Linked DNA regions of Saccharomyces cerevisiae S288C. The gene in region 1 interacts genetically with each later gene. Each region holds a gene or a part of one and is shown in the gene's direction. Other genes may lie near its edges. The genes, in order: SDD3, HIT1, CLU1 and AAT1.

Region 1 (5,527 bases):
ACAAGGTAGAGCCCAAAATATTGATTACGACAAATTGATCAAACAATTCGGTACTAAGCCGGTCAACGAAGAAACCCTGAAGAGATTCAAGCAAGTGACGGGTCGTGAACCACATCATTTTTTGCGTAAGGGATTGTTTTTCAGTGAGCGTGACTTCACTAAAATATTAGACCTTTACGAACAAGGCAAACCATTTTTCCTATACACTGGTAGAGGTCCTTCGAGCGATTCTATGCACTTGGGTCATATGATCCCTTTTGTCTTCACCAAATGGTTACAGGAAGTGTTTGACGTACCATTAGTCATAGAGTTGACAGATGACGAAAAATTTTTATTCAAACACAAGTTGACCATCAATGACGTTAAGAATTTTGCCCGTGAAAATGCCAAGGATATCATTGCTGTTGGCTTTGATCCAAAGAACACCTTTATCTTTTCTGATTTGCAATACATGGGTGGTGCATTTTACGAAACTGTAGTAAGAGTTTCCAGACAAATTACAGGATCCACTGCAAAGGCTGTTTTCGGGTTTAATGACTCCGACTGTATTGGTAAGTTCCATTTTGCCTCCATTCAAATTGCTACCGCATTCCCAAGCTCATTTCCTAATGTGTTAGGCTTGCCTGATAAGACACCATGTTTGATTCCATGTGCAATTGACCAAGATCCATATTTCAGAGTTTGTAGGGATGTCGCGGATAAATTGAAGTACTCCAAACCTGCTTTGCTTCATTCCAGATTCTTTCCAGCTTTGCAAGGTTCCACGACCAAAATGTCAGCCTCTGATGATACCACTGCCATTTTCATGACCGATACACCAAAGCAAATTCAAAAGAAAATTAACAAGTACGCATTCAGCGGTGGTCAAGTGTCCGCCGACCTACATAGAGAATTAGGTGGTAATCCCGATGTCGATGTTGCATACCAATACTTGTCATTTTTCAAGGATGACGATGTTTTCTTGAAGGAATGCTATGACAAATATAAGTCCGGTGAATTACTATCAGGTGAAATGAAGAAACTGTGTATCGAGACTCTGCAAGAATTCGTTAAGGCGTTCCAGGAACGCAGAGCTCAGGTGGACGAAGAGACCTTGGACAAATTCATGGTCCCACATAAGTTGGTTTGGGGCGAAAAGGAAAGACTTGTCGCACCTAAGCCAAAAACTAAGCAAGAAAAGAAGTAAGTAGTCACGCTTATTCTGACGCTATTATATACAATGATATAGAATCCGAAATTGTAGTTTAACACTAAAAAAATAATGCAATAGAACAATAGTGTTGCGATGTCTCCTGACCTCACTATTTCTATAGATTGGTATGAAAAATTTTTTTTTCAAATATATGGGAAAAATTTTTCACGGCATATAAAAGACTACCATCTTTCTGCATCAGTGTGCCAGACCCATTCTCACACCAAGAAGCGAGGAAGCTAACAGGCCAGTACTTGCAGGTTAGGTTTTCGTGCTCAGATGAGCAGATCATGGACTGCATTGTGCTGTTGTTGCACAGTAAATTTTGTATACCATACTTTATGATGATATTCTTTACGAACTTTTAGACGTTAGACTTCTGAAGGAGATTAGACCCTCCTATGGAAGAGAAACTCGTTAAACTTATCTGAGTAGGTATGTGTATATGCGTCTCTTGTATTATACAAATGTTCTTATTTCTTGTCCTGCATTTTTCCGAGTATTGGTAAATTCATGTAAATTTTTCATCCCATAGATCGTAATTTTGAAGTAGTGGCAAAAGATTTTAACAGAGCGTAAGATATAGTGAGAGAAACTACTCGCTGAAAAGTTGAAAGTGACCCAAAAAACGGCACGAAGACCAATTATACGCACTTTCAACACAGTTCGTCGAATCTTCACAATGGGGTTCAAGAAGCTCGTATCATTCCAACCGGATTATGTCCCACAATACCATATAACTAAATATATCTCGGAACGAACTAAACTGCAACTGGTACATATAAACCACAAAACCTCCCCATTGGTTCACGGTTACTTTGCTGTTCCTACAGAATGTCTTAATGATTCAGGTGCTCCGCATACCTTGGAGCATTTGATCTTCATGGGTTCTAAATCTTACCCATACAAAGGTTTATTAGACACAGCTGGTAATCTGTCTTTGTCTAACACCAATGCTTGGACTGATACCGACCAAACTGTTTATACATTAAGCAGTGCTGGCTGGAAGGGATTCTCAAAGTTGCTACCTGCTTATCTAGATCACATCCTACATCCAACTTTAACAGACGAGGCTTGTTTAACTGAGGTTTATCACATCGACCCGGAAAATTTGGGTGATAAAGGTGTGGTATTTAGTGAAATGGAAGCCATTGAAACTCAGGGCTGGTACATTTCAGGGTTAGAAAAGCAGCGATTAATGTTTCCTGAAGGAAGTGGCTATCGGTCAGAAACTGGTGGGCTAACGAAAAATTTAAGAACCTTAACCAACGACGAAATCAGACAATTTCACAAATCTCTGTATTCTTCTGATAATCTTTGTGTCATTGTTTGTGGTAACGTACCAACAGATGAACTGTTAACCGTCATGGAAGAATGGGATAACAAATTGCCGGAGATTCCATCGAATATACCAAAGAAAAGACCATTTTTGGACAACAAGCTTTCGCACATACCGCAATCTAGAGATAAAGTTACGGAATCTACTGTAGAATTTCCTGAACTTGATGAAAGTCAGGGTGAATTACTCTTTTCTTGGATTGGTGTTCCCTACTCAGATTTTCGTAATGACCTAGCGGTTGATGTGCTATTAGATTACTTTACTGACTCTGCATTGGCAGTGTTTACAAGAGAACTGGTTGAAATTGACGATCCCATGGCAAATTCCACTGATTGTTGCACTGATTATTTCATGAGAACCATAATTGATCTTCGTATCCAAGGTGTCCCAACAGAAAAAATAGCAGCAACAAAGACCAAGGTACTGGAGATTTTGAAAACCCATACCATTGATTTATCAAGAGTTAGACAGGTAGTTGAAAATACTAAATGGGAATATTTGCTGAACTATGAAAAAAATGGCGAGAGTCGTTTTTCTAGTGCTGTGATTACCGACTATATTTATGGTAATGAAGATGGTTCTTCATTAGTGTCTTCTCTCAAGGATTTAAGTGATTTTGATGCTTTATTACAATGGTCCCAAAAGGACTGGCAATCTTTGCTGAACAGAATATTCGTAGACAACAAACCTATCATAGTTACCGCTAAACCAAGCGCTTTGATGTATGAACAACTAGAGAAAGAAAAATCGGATTTGATCAAACAAAGAGAAGCTGAATTTGATGATGAAAAGAAACTGGTTTTATTGAAAAGATTGAACAATGCAAAAAATATTAATGATAGGCCAATTCCGAAATCTCTACTACAGAAATTTGAGATTGATAATCCTTCAAAGAGTGTTGAATTTGTCAACACGAAAAGCATTGCAACTGTCGATTCGTATAAATACAATAATGTTAGTGATCCGCTGACCAAAAAAATTTTAGAAACGAGGCCAGACAATTTTCCTCTTTTCATTCACTTAAATCATTTCCCGTCTCAATTTATAGAGCTGCATTTTTTGGTCAACTCCGCATCTATTAAGGATACCTCGCTTTTACCATATTTTAATATGTTTGACGAGCTATTTTCCATGCCAATGAAAATCCTTGATGAGGAGAGTAATGTAGAAACTATGCTCTCGTTTGAGGAAGTTGTCGCCAAGTTAAAATCAGAAACTATTGACGCACAGATCAACCAAGGTTTGAAGGGTTCTTGTCCTGACCTTATTAATTTTAAAATTCAATGTAGAGCTGGGGGTTACTCTAACTCTGTTCAATGGATCAAGCACTGCCTATTTGACATGGTTTTTGATGAAAATCGTGTTCGTATTCTGCTGGAGAATTATTTGAATTCTATTGTAGAATGGAAAAGAAATGGTAATGTTATGTTAAGTTCTTTAACTAACAGAAATCTCTATTCGGCAAGATCGCTGAAAAAATCCACCGATCCATTATTTGTTGAAGCAAAATTACAAGAGATTTTTGCAGAAATTGAGAATGGCAACTTTGAGAAAGAAATTTTGCCAAGAATAGAAACAATGAGAAAGCAACTGAGAGCAAATTTCAACAAGTTTCATATTTTGGTTCTTGGTGACATCTCAAAGATCGATGACGTTTATGAACCATGGAATCCCTTAATTAAGTGCTTGAACATTGCACATCCAGTTGAGAAGTTAAAAATTCCACCAGTTCCAAGAGCCCTAGATACCATTTCATCGATTTGCAGAACACCTGGTGAAAAGGCCTTTATAATAACTACTCCCGCCTCAGAATCTGCTTATATGAATCTAATAACGTCTATCCCATTTAACTTGGACTACCATGATCCCGAATACGCTATTGTCTCATTGGCTTCCGAATATCTAGAATGTGTTGAAGGTCCATTTTGGAAGGGAATCCGTGGTGCCGGATTGGCCTATGGTGCCAGCATGTTAAAATTATGTGAGATAAATTCTTGGGGATTCAATATTTACCGCGGCGCTGATATTATTAAATGTTATGAAGTTGGAAAACAGATTGTTCAAGATTATGCATCAGGTGCCTTGGAATTTGATGAGCAGTTAATCCAAGGTGCCATCAGTAGTATTATTAACAGGCTGGCTACTATCGAATGCGGATACTTTGAAACAGCCCTGTCCAAATATGTTGATGAATTCTGTTTGCAAAGGGGGAACAACTTCAATGAATTGTATTTGGAAAGGTTGCAGAATGTTACCAAAACAGATCTGAAAAATGCCATGCAGAAATATTTTGTCAACATGTTTGATTCCAATAAAAGCGTTGCCTTTGTGAGCTGTCATCCAGCTAAATTGGAATCAGTTCAAGAATTCTTTGAAACTCAAGGTTTCACTGTCGAAATAGAAGAGCTAGAAGATGACGATGACGAAATTGATAGTGAAGAAGACGAAAATGCGTGAGTACATGACCTCCATTTCAGCTTCACTTTCAACACAGAAACAGTGCGTATTATCTGCATTCAATAAATAGCAAAAGGAGCATTGTCTCATTCTTTTCGAATTCTGGGATTCTGCCTTACGGCGCTCTTTCATTTGATTGATCGAGAATTATTATTATATTTATATGAGTACTTGAAATTCCTCATATATTTATTTTTAGAGTATTTAAGTAGCTTGATGAAAACATTAGATAAAATTACTAATTACGACCTCTTCGATTTTGCAGATGAGTTTTTGAAATTTGTTCCTGTGTTTAGACCTAATCCCACGGTAACTTGTCTTTTTGGCAATCCGTTAACTAATTTACTGGTTAACGGTACTGGAGCAGCGTGTTTTTTTGAATTTTGTTCCTTGGCATTGATAAAGGTTTCAAAAATTCTGCTTGATCTGTTGCTCTTAGCGCTATTAATCGATTCAGAAAACGAATTGTGCTTTGAAATTGATGGAGATTGGCTATGCGTCCTGGGTTTTGGCGAAGGAGACTTGGAAGTTGGAAGATC
Region 2 (2,625 bases), on another chromosome or scaffold:
GAAAGTAATGATATAAAGAAAGCAAAAATACAAAGCAGAAGCGTAAATACTCCAAAATATGAGGATTTGTCTTCTTCTGACATTTTCAACAAAATACACTCTGCTGGACAATTAAAATCTACAACTTCTATGGAGTTTCACGGGCCATTAGATTCTATGCCAAATACAACAAACAACATCCGTAATTTTAATAGCAACAGTAGTAGACCTAGACCACCTCCTTTACAGACAAAAAGTTCGATTAATTCAAAAGCTGACTCGAATGATAATGGAAGGATTTATACACCAATGAAAGCGTACTTCAGGGAGCCTGATCTTCCGAGGAAGGGTTTGCTGGAAGATGAAGATCGTACATATAATTATACTTAATAGGCTGGCAAAAGCCCTTTGCATATTTCATGAATTAGATAGACGTGATTAGAAACAGCCGTTAGTATGTTTCTGATAAAAATAATACTTTTTTTGTAACACTATTTTCATATATTGGATTGATACCGGTTATAGCACAAACATAACAGCCATGAAAGTTTCTTTGAAAACCCCTTTTAACATTTGCTTGTAAGAGATAGGTTAATTTTTTATAGTTGCTGAGATTCCATTGTTGGTAAAGACTTAATATTAGGTATACAGAATATACTAGGAGTTCTCTCTGGGTATGTAGGAATCCACAAAAGGGTGTCACTAGTTCAACATAATAACATCTTTTTTTTATTCCTTCTTTGATATTTTGTCATATTATCCTATTATTTTATCAATCCTTGCATTTCAGCTTCCAATAGATTTGATATTTGTTTCTCAATATTATGTCATCTTCATACACAGTATGTGATAATATACTAGTAACATGAATACTACTAAATGAGTACTACCTTAGGGGTTCATTACAGCAGCTTAAGCGAAAGTAGAAAATGAGGCGGATATTTGTTGGAATAAAAATCAACTATCATCTACTAACTAGTATTTACGTTACTAGTATATTATCATATACGGTGTTAGAAGATGACGCAAATGATGAGAAATAGTCATCTAAATTAGTGGAAGCTGAAACGCAAGGATTGATAATGTAATAGGATCAATGAATATTAACATATAAAATGATGATAATAATATTTATAGAATTGTGTAGAATTGCAGATTCCCTTTTATGGATTCCTAAATCCTCGAGGAGAACTTCTAGTATATCTACATACCTAATATTATTGCCTTATTAAAAATGGAATCCCAACAATTACATCAAAATCCACATTCTCTACAATATTGATTTCCATCGTGTAAGTTTTCTGCACGAAGTTTATTCATTCAATTTGAAGTGCTTCGTAATAATATTACTATGCAACTTAGGTACCTCATATTTCTTAGAGTTCAACCAAGTTGGTTCCGTTGGCGTAATGGTAACGCGTCTCCCTCCTAAGGAGAAGACTGCGGGTTCGAGTCCCGTACGGAACGTTGATTATTTTTTTTTTTTCGTTTCTTTATAGAAAAAATTCAGACGATATTACCTTGCGATGAGATAATCTTACCGCAGAAAGAGTGCCACAGTGGTAATAACTAGTTGAAGGTTCATATTATATAAAAAACTCTAAGAATAAAAATGGTATCTAGTGCAGTTAAATGTGGCATATGTCGCGGAGTTGATGGTAAATATAAATGTCCTAAATGTGGCGTACGATATTGCTCCTTGAAATGCTATAAAGATGCTGCAAAGCATGTTCATAAGGAAAGCGAACAACCCAGGGCTGGTACAGAAGCTAATGTGGAAGTTGTTAATAACGATAAGATCATAAACAGTTCACTCGCAATGAATAAAACATTAAAGACGAAGGCATTCGATGATATATATCAAAATAGCGCAGAATTGCAAGAGCTGTTGAAATACAACACGGTGAAGTTCCATTTGGCAAAGGTTTATAGAATTTTGTCCAGTACTGTTAACGATGGAAGTTCTGGAAAAATGAACAGCGATCTACAAAAAGAACTAGCTGTAAATTATTTGAATACATTACGATATGGTGGTATACATTATAATGAAGCAATTGAGGAATTTTGCCAGATTTTATTAGATAAATTAAATGCGGTGAAGAAATAAGAATTATCGTTGTTAGCATGATTTTTAAGATTGAGCATTTTATTCATTTTTAACCATATAATAGTGAAGGTGAGGACTAATAACAAAGTACTTGTTGAAAGGGTCGGGTTGCTTTTAGGTTTTTTCTTCTCGTTAAGGATTTCCCACTTGTCTGGCAAGGCGTCAAGCAGACTTGGAAAATAATGATATTATGTCAGAATTTTTGTGTGAGGCGCTTCTATTGCAAGTTTGTGACACCTTATAATAAAAGTGAACCATGTATTTACATATGATTAGGGAAAGTTCCACCATCATCTTATGATCTTCATGGCCGTTTTGGTCTTCTTTTTAACTTGAAGTCCAACTTGGCGACTGTACATATATACATATATATAGCAATAAGTATAACAAGGCAACAAATCAGGTCCCATTATTTAATTTGAAGTCATCTACTGCCCCATAAGAACCTCTATATTATCAGTAGATTCTTTCTTTTAGGGAAATCGAACCTCGATATTGTAAGAGAAACCCGCGCCACTCCTAAAAAGGTATTTTGAAGG
Region 3 (5,962 bases), on another chromosome or scaffold:
TTTCATACGGGTATGTCTTCATGGGCTGTTTGGTATTTTCATTCTTCTACGTGTTTTTCTTTGTCTGTGAAACCAAGGGCTTAACATTAGAGGAAGTTAATGAAATGTATGTTGAAGGTGTCAAACCATGGAAATCTGGTAGCTGGATCTCAAAAGAAAAAAGAGTTTCCGAGGAATAAGAGATTATACTTAAACTAGCACTGATTTTTTTAAGGCTAATGGCTACTAATACTTTAATAGATGATCTTCATACTTTTTTATTTAACGATTTTTAATGATGTTTTTATTTGTACCACTCATTTATCTAGATTTTTTTAATACTGATCAAATCTTACGGACTCGACGTTAAAAAGTTCCTACATACGTCTGGTACTTGAAACGCTGCTTCGAGGTATTGACACTATAAGAATACGATCCAAATACTTACACCGCATGTAAAAATATGCCGACAATATGAATACTTGTTGATGAATGATATTTGATTTTAATCCGGCAATTTACCTCCTTTATATAATCCAATAATTGTTGATAATTAGTGGTTAGGTTGCAGTACTAATAAGAATTAAGACAAATATTCTTCTACTATATAAAAGGTGCAAACAAAACACACGCCGATCGGCCATACTAAACAAGACCAACATAATAATGGTGGAACCATTTACTGTATTTTCAATGTAACGACTCATATCCTTATACATGAGACGTCAAGTTTCTCGTTGAAGTAATAATGAATCTTTAACTTTACTGTGCCACATATCACGTAATCATATATTGTTTTTCGCCTTCAAGCATCAATGGCGTATTGTGGCTGATTACTTCATATGATCACTAATTAACTAATTATGAAAAATAATAAATAAGTCACCAACCAAGCAAGGAAATTAGCTTCAAGTAAACAGTTGGTTCTTTCTGGCGAGTTAGAACAAAATTAAACAATAATCTATCGACTAGCATTCATATCACCAATATATCGTCATATACAGCGAAATGATTGCATTTACTGGATTGAATGGATACACTTTGAAGATGAACCTTTATCATAGTTGAAATGGGATAGCTGAGAAACTTGTGCATGATTTGATGATTGTTTGGGTTCAACCGTTGGGGATAAGGACTATAATATTAGGTACACAGAAATTCCAAATATATAAGTAGCAGTGCTTTATGAAACTATAATGTCAGAGTAGTTATGTAAAAATAGAACAATTGATATGATCGTTTCTTTAATAACTCGATAAGGAGTTCTCTACGAAAAATATCAACAGTGAAATATAATCCGATATAGTGTAACGGCTATCACATCACGCTTTCACCGTGGAGACCGGGGTTCGACTCCCCGTAGCGGAGTTTTCTTTTTGAAGAAATTTGAAAATTTTTTTCTTCACGTCGACCAAGGTTTTTTCCGGTCAAACATGGCCAATAAAACGGATACCATTTCTTGGAAATTATACGCTTCGAAGTATTCTCAAAAAAGGAAATTGTCTGCAGTGAAGATTGGATATAAGGTTCACTAAACACAGAGTAGTAATTGAGCTGTAATTTGTTTACAGAACGAATCAAATCAGCGTAGTGTTACAGTTTATCTGAGACTGCATATCTTTAATCTCTATGAGCGAGAAAAAAGAAGAAGTTAAAAACGCCACCGTTAAGGTGACTGTCAAACTTCCAAAAGAAGATAACCATTCGCATAATACGAAACATCTCAAAAAGACCCAAAGTTCAAAAAATAATGATATATCTTTTGAAATCGGCAAGGAATCCAAAATTCAAACTGTTCTAGATGTGTTGGCTATGATTCCAAGTTCCAAGTACCTGACAAACGTTGGGCTGAAAACAATTGAAGGTGACTCCCAGCTATCTGATGAAATGTCTATAAAGGAAATTGTTGGTGAGAAAAGCGAGTTAAAACTTCAATTGATACTGAAGCCATATAGCGCAAGAGAGGCTTTGAAACATGTGATTACTGTTCGCGATTTCATCGGATTTGCCCAAGAAACCTCAGATGGATTATCTGAATTTGCTATTTCTACTGGTTCAAGCTTTTCCTCGTTACCGTTGGGTCCTATCAAGGAACGCTCAAAACAAGAAGAAAAAGACGAGAAGAGCGATCCAGAAGAAAAGAAAAATACTTTCAAAGATGTGACTGACGAGGAAAAACTAAAATTTAACGAGATGGTTCACGAAGTGTTTTCTAGCTTTAAGAATTCTTCAATTAACAAACTTCTCACCTCTGAATCCAACATCATCACGCCGTGCGTCAGGTCTTTGAGTTTCGCACCTTACAATCCTGTACCTCCATTTTATAGAAGTAAAGGTCATCTATTTTACCTACAAATTGTCACTTTGGAAGGTGAGAGTTTCTATATCACTGCAATTCCATCTGGATTCTATGTCAATAAATCAAACTCAACTAAGTTCGATCCTTCTCCAAAAGAAAACACTGACGAGAACGCGCACTCATCCCTGATCTATTACAGTCTATTTGACTTGATTGCTTCTCGCTCTAAAAAATTCATTTCTCATGTCCAAGCATTCGAGAAAAAACTATCTGCTTTAGATTCTACAAGCTATGTAAGACCAAGCAATACTTTCTTGCATAAACCATGGTTTGTTTCTTCATTGCCACCAAATAACCCAGATTATCTGAGGTTACAAACTGCCGCCTTGGATACCACGCCAGAAAGAAACTTTAATGATGAATTTCAAGCCATTAAAGATTTGACTACGTCAACATTACAAGATCGTATTGAAATGGAAAGGTTGTTTTCTAAAGTTGTACATGAATTTTCTGTTACTGCAGCATCAGGCGCTATGTCAATTTTTTACAGTGATTTCGTTGCAATGAACCCAGAATCTCCAACTCGGGATCAAATTTTCTTAAAAGACAATATCTTTTATTCCTATGTTTCCGACGTTAGTGGCAATTATGAAGGGAAAGGTGGGGATGAAGCTGCAATCGCTGCTTCCAACCAAGACTTGAAGACAATCAATATTTTGAATCGCTTGCATATGCACGAAGTTCGTTATCTTTTAACAACTGTAGTCGAATTTGCAGGCAGAAGAATTTTGGCTCAAACTCCAGTACCTGGACTCTTAGCTACCATGGGTAACAAAATTGTAAAAGATGCTAATACCGGCGAAGAGGTTACCGAAGATTTTGTCAATGATATTAATGTAAAGTACGGCCTTGATGAAGGTTTGGGAAAGATTGTTTATGATGCTGACTTTGATTCTGTTTTAGAAAAAAAGTTTGTCAAGGCATTCCATTTGAAAAAGCACAAAGTCAACGGTACTGAATTAGCATTTTCATCGCAATCCAAGGGAATAGTTGGATTCGATAAGAGGCGCTATATTTTGGATTTAGCCAACACGTATCCCTTGGACATCAACTTTGCTAGACAAAACTTTGACAACATCGAAGAGACTGGAAACCGTTACCCACACAGGCAAACTTTGTTACGTCCGGAGTTAGTAGAAAAGTGGTGGAATAATAAAGTTGAGAAGGAAGGTGTTGAATTTGAAAAGGCCTATGAAGAAAATTTGTTTAGTTATAACCCTGATGCTTACCAGGTCGAAGGTATTGAGGACGCTAATGTTGACGAAATGTCGAACTACTTACAAAAAGAAGTTATTCCCAGCGTTATTCAAGATTATTTATCTGGAAATTTGAGCACTCCTTATAATGGTGAACATTTAGCCGATACTTTACATAAGAATGGTATCAACATGCGTTACTTGGGTAAAATTATCGAGCTTTCTCAAAAGGAATTGGACTCCCAAATTGTCCACTACGAACAAAATTTGAAAGCTGTTGAACAAGACAACAAAGAATATGAGGATTGGGAAAAATCTTATCTGCAAAAAATTGAGAACATGATTAAAGAGAGACAAGCCAAGATTAATAAGCTGGTACAAGAAGGCAAAGAGGTTCCAAAAGAACTAACTGAAGATTTGAAATTAAACGATGAAGAAATCAAAAAGCCCACCGATGGAAAACCTGTGGTCGTTGCCTATGATGAGCTAGTGCCATTAATTAAAATTTCCGAATTAGAAATTGTTTCGCGTTCTTTGAAACATGTTTTAAAAGATTTGAGTAAAGATGTTCCGGTCTTCTTGGTTCCATCACTGGTAGCATACGTTTTCAATATGTTAGTTGGTATCAACTACAATGCTGATCCGAAGCCAGAACCAGTCGACGAATTTTATCCAGTCAATAAGTGCTCATTTGCTAAATTAACACGCTCCGAATTGCTGGAAGCTGTCTCTAAACAAGCCTTCTTGCGTTTCCGTCATCAATTACCATCCAATTGGATCGAAGCTTACATGGAAAATCCTTTCACCCTCATTAGAAGTGTTTCTTACAAATTTGGTATTCAATTGCTCAATAAAGAATACTTCTTTACTAGAGAACAATTGGAAAGTTATAAGCAAAGTCTTGACAAGAAAATTAGGAACAAGTTTGTCGAACCACCAACTACCTTCAGTTTAAGCGATTTGACCATTATTCCACGTGTTAAGTTCTCAGAATATACTTCTTCAGTTAGTGAGGAATTTTGGGCTCAAGGTGCTTCTATGATCAACGAAGACAAACAAAGTGCTTTGACTTTACTCGCTCAATCAATTACAGTCTTAGAAGATGTTAACAATATTTTACATCCCGCCGTTGCTGAAAAGTACTTGTCATTATCTGCCATTTATAATAAGTTAGCATTATACCCTGAAGCTATCGCGTTCTGTCGTAAAGCATGTACTATTTATGAAAGAGTTAGCGGTATTGATTCTTTTGAAATGATGAGGGCTTTAACTAATTTAGCAATTCTAGAATTCTCTAATGAAAGTCCTTATAACGCTACTGTGGTTTATAATAGGCTCGCAGAAATCCTAAAAGTTTATGAGTTACCAAAAATCCATCACCCAGCCCCCACAAGCATTTTCAACCATTTGGAACAATTAGCCCTAGGTGTTCAAGATACCAAATTGGCTATTGAAGTCTTGGGACAACTAAGCTCCTATGTTGTGGAATTAGAAGGCAAAGATTCATTAGCATATGGCTATACCGAGTCACGTTTAGGTAATTTGTTTGCAGCATTGAAGGATTTCCACCGTGCATTAGAGCACATCACTGTAACCCAAGGGATTTTCACCAAGCAATTGGGTATGAATCACACGCACTCAGCCCAATCAAGACAGTGGGTTAATGGTTTAAGCTCATTAATAATGGATTTAAAACAAAAGAAGCAACTTGCACAAGATCAAATGTCGACAACGGGATCAAATTCAGCTGGCCATAAAAAAACCAATCACCGTCAAAAGAAGGATGACGTTAAACCTGAATTGGCTAACAAAAGTGTGGATGAGTTGTTAACATTTATAGAAGGCGATTCTTCCAACTCTAAGAGCAAAAACAAAACCAACAATAAAAAGAAGCATGGTAAGAAATAGAGAGCTAACTTAACAATCTCGTTTATTTATTATTTTTCTTTATATCTATAGCCCATACTTGTATATACTACGTGTAAGTACTAGATATAAAACGAAAAAAAAATACTTACAATTATTTTTTTTTCTTTACTGCTCTATTCTTTTCTTTATTCTATTCATAAATGCAAACAATTAGTTATGTAATTTTAAAAGTTGAAAATAATTGACTTTGTCAAAGAGTAATTAATTTTTCACAAATCATCATAAATGCAGGTATCAAAATATTGTCATTAAGCACACTATTACCTTCTAGCACTCCACTCAGTGTACAAAGGGTAAGCAATTGTAAAGTAGTTAGGTGGTTAAAAATTGCAGCTTTATCAAAACGTAACAATACCAAACAAACGATAAAACTCGTTACTATAAACGCAAGAGTTCCCTCTAAAGTTTTTTGTGTACCTTTCCAACGAATGCGGCCATACCTTTTACCAATAATAGATGCTAAGGAATCACCAATTCCCAATCCTATTAGACCCATTGG
Region 4 (3,784 bases), on another chromosome or scaffold:
GAACATGATCCGGAGGCAAGCAGCGGCGTTGTAAGCTCAGAGCAAAAGCCTACGGCTAAGCGAAAGGGTAGAAAGAAGTATAATCTAGTGAGCAATAACTTCAGAAGACTAAAACTGCCAAAGAAAAACCGATTCTCTAATGGACGATGGGGAAGAAGGTGAGCGTGATGGCGTAAATAATACAAACATTTGTAATTTATAGAAACCTATTAAGTATTCAGTTAGATTCCTTCAGCTGCATGACGTATAGTTTATATGGACATCATACGTATTTTTATCAATATAGAGACTAGCATGTTTTTACACTTTTTATTTTTGTTGTTCAATTAGGGGCCTCGTCCATATATGTATATATATTACATAATCTGCAATCATCAATTAGGGGAGGAATAATCGGCAGAGGTATAAATACAAAATTTAAAACAATTCAAGTGAATGAAAAGGTGAACCAACAAACAGAATATTACCACGTATCAAGGAAAAACTAATAATAGTATATTGGCGCATTTAGCAGGATGTTCTGGAAAAAGGATCCCACCGTCAGTTGGGAAAGAAAAAATATCAATGACATTGATTTTAGTCGTTTTAATGTGGCCATAATTGGTGGCACAGGTGGACTTGGACGTGCAATAAGTAGAGAGCTGGCCCAAAGAAATGCCAGGGTTACTGTTGTCGGGCAAACTTTTAGGGACGAGGACCTAAAAGATAAAATTAACTTTGTCAAGGCTGATTTAAGTTTAGTGTCAGAATGCAAGCGTATATCTCATAGTGATGAAATTCCCTACGAGGAGTTAACACATCTGATTTTCACTACGGGTATTTTTGCATCACGCCAGAGACAAGCTACAAGTGAGGGTTTGGAAAAAGACATGGCAGTGAGCTATTTGAGTAGATACATTATCTTCCATGATGTGGCGAAGCGATTAGGAATTAGTAGGACAAAAAAAGACGATTTGCCAAAAGTTTTCATAGCAGGGTTTCCAGGAAATGGTCAGGTGGGAGACCCAGATGACTTGAATTCTGATGAAAAGAAGTATAGTGCCTACGCTACACATATGAACACTGTGGCAGCCAATGAAAGTCTGGTCATAGACGCTAAAGACAGATACACGAATATAGATACTTTCGGTTTGAACCCTGGGCTGATCAAAACGAACATTCGTAATAATCTTCTTGGCAGTGACACCTACCTCAGCCGCATTACAGAATGGATAATCAGCTGGACCTGTCAAAGCGCAGAGACGTATGCGAAAACAATATGCACCCTGATTGCGAGCCCCGCTATCGAATCACGCAGTGGTACAATGTTCAGCAACAAAGGCGATGCTATTTTACCTTCGCCTGGTTTGACCAAAGATGTTGTTGAGAAGTTTATGGAAAATTCGGAACTTCTAGTTGAAAAGGCCTTGCGTAATCAAAGTCCTTTCACTTCCAGTAACGAATGACTTGCTGTAACTAATTGGTTTATATTTAAATATTTCACTTTTTAAAGGGCGTTTGCATGCGACCATCGTCGATGATTCATATTGTTCGGATGCGGAAGATGGCTTCCATGAGTTTTGCACGCCGTCTCATGTGATTGTTGGAGTCATAGCTCGCATATCTTCCTATTGTCAGATGTAATATCGACGGAAATGGCATCTTGGAGTATGGAAGCACTATTCTGCTTTGCTCCAATATTTAGGATGCCGCATTTTTCATATTTTTTTTTACATTTTTCGCTTACGTATATAAATTGCTAGCAAGTATTCGCTCTCTCTGTCTTGGTTATCTAATTGCTAACCGTCGCAATTGAAAAGAAAAAAAAAATACAGAATAGACGATAGCGGATTGAACGATAGCATACTATTGAGTGCGTTTTCCCTTCTCATTTGAAAATTACTATCCGTTTTTCACTGCCGAAAGACTTGATGTTGAGGACGAGGCTTACTAATTGCAGTCTATGGAGGCCCTACTACACGTCATCGCTTAGTAGAGTACCAAGAGCACCTCCAGATAAAGTCTTGGGGTTATCTGAACACTTCAAAAAGGTAAAAAATGTTAACAAAATTGACCTGACCGTAGGAATATATAAAGATGGTTGGGGCAAAGTGACGACGTTTCCCTCCGTTGCAAAAGCTCAAAAATTGATTGAATCTCATTTAGAGTTGAATAAGAATCTTTCATATTTACCAATAACAGGTTCCAAAGAATTTCAGGAAAACGTTATGAAATTTTTGTTCAAGGAATCATGTCCGCAGTTTGGGCCATTTTATTTAGCCCATGATAGAATCAGCTTTGTTCAGACTTTGAGTGGTACAGGCGCCCTAGCTGTAGCAGCTAAATTCTTGGCATTATTTATTTCAAGAGATATTTGGATACCTGACCCATCATGGGCAAATCATAAGAACATTTTTCAGAACAATGGTTTTGAAAATATTTACCGGTATTCCTATTATAAGGACGGTCAGATAGACATCGACGGATGGATTGAGCAATTGAAAACCTTTGCATATAACAACCAGCAAGAAAACAATAAGAACCCACCTTGCATAATCTTGCATGCGTGTTGTCACAACCCTACAGGTCTCGACCCAACTAAAGAGCAATGGGAAAAGATTATAGATACTATATATGAGCTAAAAATGGTACCCATTGTTGATATGGCTTATCAGGGTTTAGAGTCTGGTAACTTACTAAAGGACGCATATTTATTGAGGCTATGTCTCAATGTAAATAAATATCCAAATTGGAGTAACGGTATCTTTCTTTGTCAATCTTTTGCCAAGAACATGGGCCTTTATGGTGAACGAGTTGGTTCCTTAAGCGTTATCACGCCGGCAACTGCGAACAATGGAAAGTTCAACCCTCTACAACAGAAAAACTCATTGCAGCAAAATATTGACTCCCAATTAAAAAAGATTGTCAGAGGTATGTATTCTTCTCCACCAGGATACGGTTCTCGTGTGGTAAATGTAGTATTATCAGATTTCAAATTGAAACAGCAATGGTTCAAGGATGTTGATTTCATGGTTCAGAGATTGCATCACGTCAGACAGGAGATGTTTGACCGTCTAGGGTGGCCGGATCTTGTAAATTTCGCACAACAGCACGGTATGTTTTACTATACAAGGTTTAGTCCAAAGCAAGTCGAAATATTGAGAAACAATTACTTCGTCTATTTAACAGGTGATGGTAGATTGTCGCTTAGCGGAGTCAATGATTCGAACGTTGATTACTTATGTGAATCTCTTGAAGCAGTCTCGAAAATGGACAAACTCGCATAATTTTTTCACCTTACAGTTCACCTTTGTCTTTATTTTTTTATTACTTTTCCCTTCTCATTTTGCCACACAATAATTTATAGAATATAATAATTTTTTGTAATAATTAATAAACCTTTTTTTTATCTACTCTATATACACTTTTCAGATAACTAGATTGGATTAATTCGTGATCGAACTAGTTATTAAATTTTAAATGAAAAGAAAGCTAGCGCTAGCCAACTATTTTAATTACGGTGGCAGTGCATCATATCCTTACATTTCATTTTAGGTTTCCTATGTTTTCTTCTTTCAAATCATTTCCTGCCAAAAATTTTTTTCAGTTTCCTACCGAATTTACTGTGACCGTGACGGTCATGCGACTTATCTTTTATAGCTGCATCATCGTTATGAAGCTTGTGTATCTCTCCATTTTTATCAATGATAGTCACCGGAACGCTTAATGGTAAGGCTGTAGGCAGGTCAGGATTTGATGACTCCAAAGTGGCTGTTCCACCAGATATGTTCCTATTTGACAATTG

The links.
Region 2: mutations in SDD3 (region 1) and HIT1 together harm fitness more than expected from each alone (negative genetic interaction), as found in Saccharomyces cerevisiae (one large-scale study listed by BioGRID).
Region 3: mutations in SDD3 (region 1) and CLU1 together harm fitness more than expected from each alone (negative genetic interaction), as found in Saccharomyces cerevisiae (one large-scale study listed by BioGRID).
Region 4: mutations in SDD3 (region 1) and AAT1 together harm fitness more than expected from each alone (negative genetic interaction), as found in Saccharomyces cerevisiae (one large-scale study listed by BioGRID).

What each region holds. Positions count from the first base shown.
Region 1 is NC_001147.6:132,186-137,712, reverse strand, and holds SDD3 (Sdd3p), read left to right. Parts: upstream 1-1,874; coding exon 1,875-4,988; downstream 4,989-5,527. Other genes in the region: tryptophan--tRNA ligase WRS1, read left to right, coding at 1-1,186; YOL097W-A (uncharacterized protein), read right to left, coding at 1,308-1,493; serine/threonine protein kinase PKH2, read right to left, coding at 5,231-5,527.
Region 2 is NC_001142.9:537,181-539,805, forward strand, and holds HIT1 (Hit1p), read left to right. Parts: upstream 1-1,591; coding exon 1,592-2,086; downstream 2,087-2,625. Other genes in the region: KCH1 (Kch1p), read left to right, coding at 1-369.
Region 3 is NC_001145.3:289,526-295,487, forward strand, and holds CLU1 (translation initiation factor 3 subunit CLU1), read left to right. Parts: upstream 1-1,608; coding exon 1,609-5,442; downstream 5,443-5,962. Other genes in the region: hexose transporter HXT2, read left to right, coding at 1-179; SEC59 (dolichol kinase), read right to left, coding at 5,654-5,962. UniProt on the Saccharomyces cerevisiae protein: mRNA-binding protein involved in proper cytoplasmic distribution of mitochondria.
Region 4 is NC_001143.9:235,626-239,409, forward strand, and holds AAT1 (aspartate transaminase AAT1), read left to right. Parts: upstream 1-1,910; coding exon 1,911-3,266; downstream 3,267-3,784. Other genes in the region: SLD2 (Sld2p), read left to right, coding at 1-162; YKL107W (putative short-chain dehydrogenase/reductase), read left to right, coding at 516-1,445; YKL106C-A (uncharacterized protein), read right to left, coding at 1,522-1,641; SEG2 (Seg2p), read right to left, coding at 3,560-3,784. UniProt on the Saccharomyces cerevisiae protein: Plays a key role in amino acid metabolism. Important for metabolite exchange between mitochondria and cytosol.